Coturnix japonica: one gene and its partner. The protein of the gene in region 2 binds, or shares a complex with, the protein of the main gene of each other region. Links are inferred from orthologs where the notes say so. Each region holds a gene or a part of one and is shown on either strand. Other genes may lie near its edges.

Region 1 (4,993 bases), on a different chromosome or scaffold from region 2:
GTCTCACTTAACATAGTGCAGATTTTACCACTGAGCTGTGGGTCTTTTCAAATTCTAGTCAAGGGAAAGATTCGGACAAACTTTAATCACAGTCTGTGTCTTTGAATGGCCCAACTCATTGAAATGCTGGCTGATTAACAAAAGAGAATTAAATGATTCCTTGGATTTTATATTCTTATTGCTTCTCACTACTACTGAACTGTTGTTTTTTATAGTAATGTTTTTGTTCTGATTTATTTCTGCTTCTCTTTTCTAGGCCTATCTGTCAATCTGCAAAGATGTCATAATGGTTGGTCTTGGAAATGTCAAGTTTCAACTGCACTTTTTAGATATGGCACTTTCAGTAATACAAACAGGTACGAAATATAGTGCTAACATCAGCACCTTCACACACAATTAGGTGACATGTTTGTATATTGACAGAACTGTTGCTTTTTTGTTTTGTGGAATCTCTTTCTCAAAAAACAGTATTTATAGTTGATGCTAATATCATTCATATGGTGAGAAATAACAACAGCTTTTCAGCAAGTTGAAAACAAGCAGAGAAACTGTCCAGCATCTTATCATTGTTGGTGGCTGATGTTTTTTCCTTGCTGTTAAATTCCTGTTACATAATTGGTATGTCACACAGTAGTATATGTACATAAATATTTATGCACACTGATCTTATGTGTATCTAAGGAGACAAAACTGTAGTGCAGTTTAAATTTGGCTCACGTTTGGAAAGTTAAGTTGACAGCAGAGACAGAATTAAAGCTCAGTTCCTCCTCACAAAATAGAGTTTTATTCTGAATACATCAAGAAATTTTTTAAGGAACACTGGATTTATACTTAATTAAATACTATTTGAGATATATGAAAAGTAAAGCTGAAGGTGCTCAGAAACTAAATGCATCATCTAGGAAACTGTAGCTGTGTTTGTGGTATAGAAGTTTTGTTAAAAATTTGCATCTAAAGAATATCCCATTTCAGTGTGTATATTGCGGTATTTCTCTCTTTAGCCAGGGGTGCCTTTTGTACACCAATACTATTGTGTGCACTAAGAGAAATTACTGAAGCTTCTCTGACTCAGAGCACTGAGGTGGATGAAGTAGCAAATGTCCTCCATGCTGTTCAGACCATGTTCCAGAAGGTTTTAGAATGTGTTGCAAGCAGAATCAAGGAGCAGCCGGGAGATGGGATTCAGGTATTACTGTTAACATCGCTACCTTTATGTAGATGAATCCATGCTTGTACTCAAATGCAAAGTGATGTTACGCTTTGAGGTTGTTACTCCATTCATCTGATTTATATTATTAGTCACTTCTTCTAGTATTAATGTTTCCCCATCTCCAGTAGGTTCTTTAACCACTGTTGGTCTTGTGACAGAATTGCTAATAAACAAGAGAACAGTGTGTTATGTTGCCAGTGATGTACCCTATGAATGATCTACTGTACCAATTACCTACTCTAGCACTGTAGGTTAGGTCACAGGTTAGATACACTATTATTAACCTTCTTGTCAATGAAAATGGGCTTAATCCTGAGCAAGGGATTTGGTTATATATGTTCTGATCCTGAGAGAGATAAAAAACTATGGCTATTTCTGTTTGTTTCAGCATGAATTTCATCAGCTTCAACATGTGGATGATGTCCTGTAGTTCTTCAGACCATCCTATCTTCACAGAAAGTTTAGCTTCTTGCATTTCATAGCATAGAAGATAGTAGTAAGGTAGAAGGATCGCAGTGGAAGATATGACGATATGCTTATTAGGTCTTTTGAAATAAGGGCTTTTTTGGTTCAATCATTGCTTTGTTTGCTTTTGTCTGAAACTAGTGAGTAGAATTTTGACCTTTGTTACCGATTCGCCCTCCTGATGCCAAGTGAATGAGTACCACAGTGACTTTCAGGGTGTCATCTGCACTTCTTTGCAGACAGCGGTTTGTTGAAATATTTTCATCATTTTCATGTAATCTCAAGCAGCCAATCTGTTTCTCTTTGATTTCAGTTGATTCAGTCTATTCAAACGCCTCTTGGAGATTTCTTACACGCAGTCCAGTGCTGGCATTCATTTTGCCCAGCAGTTCACCAGAGTGTGTTCTCCACTCTCCTAGCTGCAGTACTGGCAGAGATCAAGTATGCGCTACAGGAGGTAAAGTTAATGCTGATTGCTTTTTAAAGGTTATATTGGAAGTAGAAAGCTGTGTTCAGGAAATGTGTTTTTCCTACCGCAGATGATGCTTTGTGTGTTATGGCGTGGAACAAATAGGATGTTTTATTTGCCATAATTTGATCTTAAAATGCATCTCTTGGATTTACAGACACATGTAAGATGCCTGTCTTGATACTTTGTTCAGTATCTGATTCTTGCAGAAAATTTTAGAAGTTAGGCAGTGTTGGGGGTAAACAACGTGGTCTTTTTTGAGAAGTTCTTTGTGTGTGTATTTGTACCGAGTCTGGCTTTGAAGGAGTTAATTTCTTTCATCGCAGCCCGTCTGCTGCTGTGGTTTGCGTTTGAGTTGAAAACAGCACTGGTGGTACACCAGCAATTTTGGCTGTTGTTAAACAGTGTTTGCACAGTGACAAACTCCCTCAGCCAAGACAGTTGACCCCGACTGACCACAGGCTCACCTCAGACCAGATAATGTGCTCAGCAATCAAAGTGCAGGGAAACAAGGAGGAAGAAGGATCATTTGTGGTCTTTCCAAGCAAGCATTATGCTCTCTGTCAGAGAGAGCCTCTTTCCAGCCTTGCTTTCCAGGAAGTGGCTTGATATGTGCCTATCATTGGCACAAAGGGAATTAATTTTGTATTTTGCTGTACAGGTATGTGCAGCTTTTATTCTAGTAAATCAAAACATGCGCTCTAAATACTTGCCATACTATTGAGAACTTCATACAAAAAGAGTTGGCCTGGGGAATCAGTGGCATCTAACTTTAAGAAATTGTGTTATATTCTTAAATATCCTTCGTGTCTTCAAGTTTATTTCTGTTCAGCATCCTGTGTGTTTATAAATAGTGACTGGTCATAGACTGGTACTCAGGCAGACTGTGGAGACTGTTTCCCGTGATGCTGTTTACGTGCTTCAGTTTTAGCCTAGATTTTATTTTTTGTTATTTTGGGCACTGCACAATTGATTTTAAGGTGTTCAAACTGTGCATGGGAATGCTGTTTAGGTCCTGTTTAGCGTTAACTACTGCAGTACAGATTTGCCTGGATATTTTCTGCATATATGTTAAGTTATTGACTGTTTCTTCTTTAGGCTTCCAGTGAAAAAGCTTTCACAATACCAAGGACAGTTTCAGACCTTCCACCTCTTTCAAGCAGCTTAATGGCAATCATTATGAAGTCTGTTAATGTGGTCAGGTAAATGTTTCTCCATTAAATTGTCCAAGGTTGCTAATAACACAGAATAGAACAGCTTTTGTGTATTCAATAACATTTTAATTTCTGAATTCAAATATGCTTTGAGAAACTGAAACTTCTTATTCAGTTCACCTGCATGATCGTAATCTTGGAGATATTGACTGCTGAGCTTTTTCTTAGTTTTAAATATCCAACAGTGCTTATTTACAAGACTGTTCACCTAACTGAGGTCTTTAATCAGACATCATTCCTTTTTAGATTCACAAGAAAGAATGGCTGTATAAAATTCAAAACCTTTTTCAAGTCCTGTACTTTGATAAAGGAGTTGTTCACTTTTTTTTTTAATTGGAAACACCTCAAATTAATTTTTATGACATACACATTTTAGAACAAAATGTTAATTAAACTCTGGGTTCCAATTAAGCTACAAGTAGAATTAGATTTAAAGGCCTGAGTTGTTACTGGCAATCCACCGGAGTCATATAATGTATTTTAAACTTCACTATGAATTGATTTTAGCAAGTTCACTATAAATTGTACAAATTGCATTCCAGTGGTTACAGTACTTTTTTCAGACTGTTCTTTCCAAAATATTCCACAAGCTCTTAATTTCTCAGACAAGCTACTTATTCTATGGGAAAACTTTCTTTTCTTCCCAAGCAATGTATGAACTCACACTCAAAGTCCCATAAGAAGCCTGTAGTTGTCCATCACCCCATAAGCACACATTTGCCCTATATGGTATCTTCAAAGCTATGGTGGTGGTGTAGTATAATCACAAGCTTGTTCTGTTCTGTTTTGAAATAAACATGATTTAGAAAGTATATTTACATTTTTTTTTCCCTTAGGTCATTTTTAAATGAATTACTGGAATGCATTCTATCTGAAGAAATTGAAGGGATTTTTAGTCTTACGTCTGTGGTATGCACTGTAATTGTAATTAAAGGTCAGTCAAACCCATTTTGTACCATATGTGTGTGTGTGTGTGTATATGTATATATATATATATATGTATATATTGCTGGTATAATATAAAAAGCCAATTCAGCAGGCACTAAGGCCTATCACTTGTACATGATGGTATTAAGGTTTGGACTTACAAGTTTTGTAGTGAGTTGGAAAATACGACTGCTCACTCATAGGGTCCATCTCTATATTTTGGTTTAGTGAAACACACATTAATTTAGGGCAGTAAAAATCTAGTCATATCTAATCTTTTATTAAAGTGCTGTGGGTTTTTTTGTCTTTTTAAAAGACACACTATGAAAATGTGCAAAAGGGTTTGGGTTTTTTTTTGGTGAAGTGTTATTTTTGTTCAGCGTTTTAACATAATCCTATTTCAAATAGGTAAGCACAAAACTTCACTTCTAAAAGATGTTGCACCTGTCATTCAGAGAAAGCTTATAACTTACAAGGAAGCTGCCACAGAAGAATCTAACAATACTGAAAGGTAAATTTGCTATTGGAAATGAACACTAACCTCTCCTATACCCTTTCTGTTGTGTTTATAAAGCAGCTGAAGCATTCTGAATGATCACACATTTTAAAATAGGGGGTAAAAACCTTGTGAGACACTGAGTTCAGCACAGTATTAAATTTACTGCCCATGTCTTGACTGTGATTGTAATCATTACACATTTAGTTTAG
Region 2 (4,993 bases):
TGTTTGCTGTAGCCAAAGACTTTGCCACCCTGCTGTTATCATCCCATTATAGCCTTACACCTGCACAGAGCACCTTTGGTAAGGGAGGTAATAGATGAGTCTTACTTGTAGCCTTACACTTGGAGGGTGGTTATTTTGCGTACATGCTCTAAATAGATTACTCCATGAGATACCTTTAACGGATGTATGAGAAGCTGAAATTGTACAATAAAAAAAAGTTAATTTTTGTCTGAGGGTTGATTAAATCCTGAGTTGCCTTTTGCTTCTGCTAAATTCGTATCTTCGTGATTGGCATTCTGAACTCCCTCGGGTTTGGTAGAGGCCAGATGGCACAGTTGAGAAGCGTGCACACATCATTGTGTGGTTGGATCACTTGCCTTAGGAGAAAAAAAAAGAAGCCAAACTAGAAATCAGAGTGACAGAACGTGCTGAATGGGAGCGATTCATTTAATTTCTGTTTTAATTTCTTTTTGGCAGGCTATGACCGTGCAGCCTTGGATGCAAACACAAACAGTGCCAGTTTGATGCTCAGTGAAGAAGGTGCGGAGTCATTCTCTTATGATAAGTCTCAGGCTTTTCTTGGCGTGCTGCTTTCTAAAAATATGTGTATCCATAAAACGTGGGACATGTGTGCAGCTCTCTATTTAATGGTGAATCACGTGGAGTGAATGTATGCTCAGTTCTTAAGCTTTTAACTTTTCTTCCAGCTACGTCCAACCATCCGCTGAAGACCTTACCAAGCTTCAAAACGATTGAGCTGACAAACAGCAGCAGTGCTGCCATGGTGAATGGTATGTCACAGTTACAGCAGCCTTTCAGATAGCTCTTCAGAACTTCGATTACAATTATGTTTTCTGAATCTTGTTCGCTGACCATTTCTCAAAGAGCAGAGAGATCTTTCTGGAGAGCTGTTAAAAAACACAGGTGGTGAAGGGGTGGAAGTGCTTGCTGTATGGAAATGCCATTTCCACTTAAATTTGGGAAATACATTTAATTGTGAAATGCTGGTGTTCATTTGTATTAATGTGGTAGCAATACTCATTGCAAAGCAGATAATTTATACTTTCCCAAAAGGATGCTAATTGATGTGGGATGCAGTACTTGTAGCTCCATAGATTTAAGGGTAATTAAACCTCTTGCTTCAGTGCACAAAGAATGGATGTATTTTTGCTGCATAAAACACAGCACCTTTGACTGGCACTGTTATGCAGGGAAGCATTTAATTCTCAGCAGCACCAGGTATTGGCTGATGTTAAAAGCAAAGTGGGAGGTTAAATGGACTGATTTGCAACGTCAGTGTGCTAGATCTGATTCCTTAATGGCATGAAATCAGCACAAAAGTTGGCTTTCGTGGCTGTGATATTTCATTGAATCTCTTCCTCTTCAATGTGGAGTCCTCACATTTAGGCCTCTGTCTGTGTCTTCGCTCTCAGTTGTTGCTATTCACCTCTCTTGAACTGCTGACAATTCAATTTACTGCTTAGCTCGCATCCTGCCTCTGTGTCTTTGTTACACTTCTCATGCTGCTCTTCATGTGGGATCCCTCCATATCTTCATGAACCAGGCTCCTATCTTCTCTATTGAAAGCTTTCTTTCAAAACATTTTGCTGATAAATTTCATTAATCTGCTCTCTAAGATAGAATATCCTCAGGCCACTGAAGGTATTGTGTATTCCCTGTTCAGTTGCAGGCTCTGTGTGGCAGAGGATGCCTGGTTTTGTTATCTGATACACCAGCTGAGCCGCTTGGCACTTGGCAAAACAAATTAAGCAAAGGATTGGATCAAAAAGGGCTGTCTGAGGCTCAAGAGGATAGCTAAAAAACAGGCTTCTCAGAGCCAGTCAAGGTGCATTAGCAAAGCTGTCTGGCACACACTTGTTTGGCTTCTGCCTGTGCTAATTTTGCACTTCTATGAAGACCAAACAGCTTGTCTTTTAGAAGCAAAATAAATCTTTGCTGAGGATATTCAGAACTTGCAAAATGCACAAGGGCAAAGATAAGACTGGTAGGGATAATCTGCAGGGTGAAGTATACTCTATAGAGTATGCAGTGCCTGTCAGCCTATAAACACTCTATTCCCTTGCTAGTTTCTCTTGCTAGTTCTCAGCCATTTAGATCTCAGGGCTTGTTTGTTTTTTTCCCTATGCCACTATGCATAGAAATCCATGACAGTTGGCCAAGGTTGATCACTTTAGCAGATTTGGTTACCTTTGCAATAGCAGCATGACTGTTCTCTTGGCAGTGTCTTGCAAAGAAAAGGTTGTGTGCTTTTTCTGTCAAGCTATTCTCAGGAGAAAGACTCAGTTGCAGTTACCTGCCTACTAAGAAAGCACTAGTCATGCAGATTGAAATCCCTTAGCTTCATTTGATTAAAAAAAGCCTACTTTTAGACCCTATATTTATTGGTTCCCAATGACTAATTGTTTCTCTTAATGGAAACATGGTAGATCTCCAGATGAATCTCTCAAAGTAACAGGTTTCTGTATTTGCAAGTTCAAAATGTCCTTAGGAAAACTTAATTTCCAGCTTTGAAGGCAGCCTGATACCTTTTATATACAGAAATAAAAGAACTGGGAGTTACAGATTATTCCTTTTTGCTCTGTGTATGAAATGATTTGGTATATCACCAGATTTTGTGTTATGTCCTATGATTTATTTTCAAGATAGAAGAACTTTGGGTTTTTCTTCCCCTTGTCAGAATGGCAGCTGCAAAGGAGAACCCACATTCTTTCAGTTAGTTGTTGTTGTGCTTTCAGCCCTCATCTCTTGCTCCTGAAAACCTTGGGCAACAAACTGAGCTCTGCAAAGCATACAGAGGAGGTCTGGGTGGGTGTTATAACTTCTTTTTATCCTGGGTTTGGATAGGAAAAGAAATCATGGCCCTGCTGAGGCTGAGAGCTGGAGATGAGAAAACCACTGTGAGGAAATCTGCTCTCCAGGTATGGTGTTCTTTGCATGATTTCTTGTTCTGCATGATTACACAGAATGCCATTGGAACAAATAATTGAGCTGTAGTACTGCAGTGAACTGTATGTAAGTTTGCCCAGCTGTAGCTTCTTGCTATTCCCACCGAGTGCATTCAGTCCTTAAAAAGGTCATTTTTGCTAGTTCTTGATAAGTAAATAATGCAAGGAAGAAATAACATTCTAGTACTCTTTTGCTGGCATTCACTTATTCCATCATTTAGAGAAAGAGCCTCTTTCCAAATGTCAATAGGTATTTAACTTAAGCGACTTCCTTACAAACTGGGGCATAAGAGGTGCTTTGTTTCTACCTTGTTAGCAAGAGTTTGGGCTATATCTGGCATCATTTTGAGGGATGCACTGCTTTTCTGCTTGCTTCATTTTAATTAATTAAGTCATGAACTTTGAAAGGTATCTTCTTCAATGTGAATTTCACTGTTTTATAGGATACGGATCTGTTGTTGACTGCCTTTCTCCCTGTTAGTCCTCTTTCCCTTAGTTCTTCCCCTCCAGGATAAATCAGGATGAGAACACCTCAGGTTAAGGGTTTCTGACTGTTTTGTTGTGAGGTTTTCAATTCTTTTCCCTCTTATTGGCAGGTGAAAGATGTAGGTCATAACAAGAGAAACATTGGCTTCAAGGGGGAGTTGTGGCATTGACTCAATGCAGAATTCTCTTATAAAATCTGAAGGACTGAGAAGTTCTCTTAGCATTCTGTATCAAGTTCTGCCCGGTACTTAGAAATTACTAATGTTATGTTTCCCTTTCATTGCGATACATTCTATTCCCTGTTGACTTAAATTAGGGATTGATCTATTTCTGATTAATTTCCCCATGCATCCTGGCTCGTATTCCCGATGAACTCATGCTGTTTTTTGACCTGCAGGTTTTTACAAACATCCTGAAGCACAAAGCAATCCCTTGCACTGCAGAAGATTTGTCCACTCTTCAGGACCGTTGCCGGGACCCCGCAGTCTCTGTGCGGAAACAGGCCTTGCAGTCTGTGACAGAACTCCTCGAGGTGAGGAAATGAACAACACCAATTCTTATGGCTGAAATGTTGGTTTAAGAGGATGAGGGCACAGCAAATCACTTATGACTGTGCTCTTTATTTGTTTTAATCATCTCTTGACTTGCAATCAGTGACTTGCACATACTTGCCATTTATGTGGGATGCTTTCAACTGCTGGAAATGCTTTTCTTTTCCCTGCCTGTTGGTTTTATGTGTCATGGAAGGGATGTTTATGTTGCTGTCCTTCTGAAATTTGAGAACCTGAATCATTTTGCTGTGATACAGCATGTTCATGATGCCACTGTAATGTTTTTCCTTCTCTTCTATTTATTCTCAAAGGTTTGGTAACTTAGTCATGGAGCATAAGGTTTGTATTAATCAAAACCCTCTTGTTTTAGTCTTAAATCATCTGCATTACAGTTTTATTGCAATACTCTCATAATTATTTATAGAGTTTCAAAACAAACTATTGCATTGCTTTAGCCCAGGTAGTTTGGTCAGAGTACTGTACTTTCTGCTGTCAGTTGAGCAGTGAGCTAATTGTAACTTATTTTACAAGTTAACAAATGAATCTCAAGGTTTCTAGGCTTTCGTTGGTCTTATCTGTGCTTGTAGGACCACATCATAACTAAAGGAGATGTTTCTAATACAGTGTGTTTCTCTCAGGTCCAGCACGATGATGTCCTGGTGCACAAGGCTTGGTTGACTGGAGTTGTGCCTGTTGTAATGGACTCTGAAACTTCTGTTCAAGAAAAGGCCTTGGAATGCCTTGATCAGGTTTTGTTGCAGCACATAAAGCATTACAGTAAATTCAGGAGGGAAGACAAGAAGCAGGTGCTGGCATGGGATCTCCTTACGCTGCTGACTTCGGAAAGCCAGGAGCTGAGGTAAATGTGGCTGTCCTTCATTGTGGGCTCTTCTGGTGTTTCCAAAACACTCCTTTGTCCAGTGCACTGGATCTCTTTGTTGCCTTTATTATCTTGGCATTCGTGGACAAAATCCAGATTATTTTATTAAA

Evidence for each region.
Region 1: the proteins of NCAPD3 (region 2) and NCAPG2 are in contact, whole or in part, in a cryo-EM structure (PDB 9F5W), measured with the Homo sapiens proteins. The link is inferred for Coturnix japonica from reciprocal best matches to the Homo sapiens genes NCAPD3 and NCAPG2. Residues at the interface, in NP_056076.1 of Homo sapiens: Glu1213, Lys1216, Ile1217, Pro1218, Leu1220, Gln1247, Ser1250, Glu1251, Tyr1254, Lys1258; in NP_001268861.1 of Homo sapiens: Phe291, Lys332, Pro333, Ile334, Trp336, Lys340, Ala341, Arg342, Arg347.

The regions. Positions count from the first base shown.
Region 1 is NC_029517.1:8,480,198-8,485,190, reverse strand, and holds part of NCAPG2 (condensin-2 complex subunit G2), read left to right. Parts: intron 1-256; coding exon 257-356; intron 357-1,001; coding exon 1,002-1,186; intron 1,187-1,988; coding exon 1,989-2,132; intron 2,133-3,242; coding exon 3,243-3,346; intron 3,347-4,194; coding exon 4,195-4,292; intron 4,293-4,693; coding exon 4,694-4,796; intron 4,797-4,993. UniProt on the Homo sapiens protein: Regulatory subunit of the condensin-2 complex, a complex which establishes mitotic chromosome architecture and is involved in physical rigidity of the chromatid axis.
Region 2 is NC_029539.1:2,130,430-2,135,422, reverse strand, and holds part of NCAPD3 (condensin-2 complex subunit D3), read left to right. Parts: intron 1-477; coding exon 478-540; intron 541-707; coding exon 708-791; intron 792-2,865; coding exon 2,866-2,939; intron 2,940-3,849; coding exon 3,850-3,984; intron 3,985-4,641; coding exon 4,642-4,862; intron 4,863-4,993.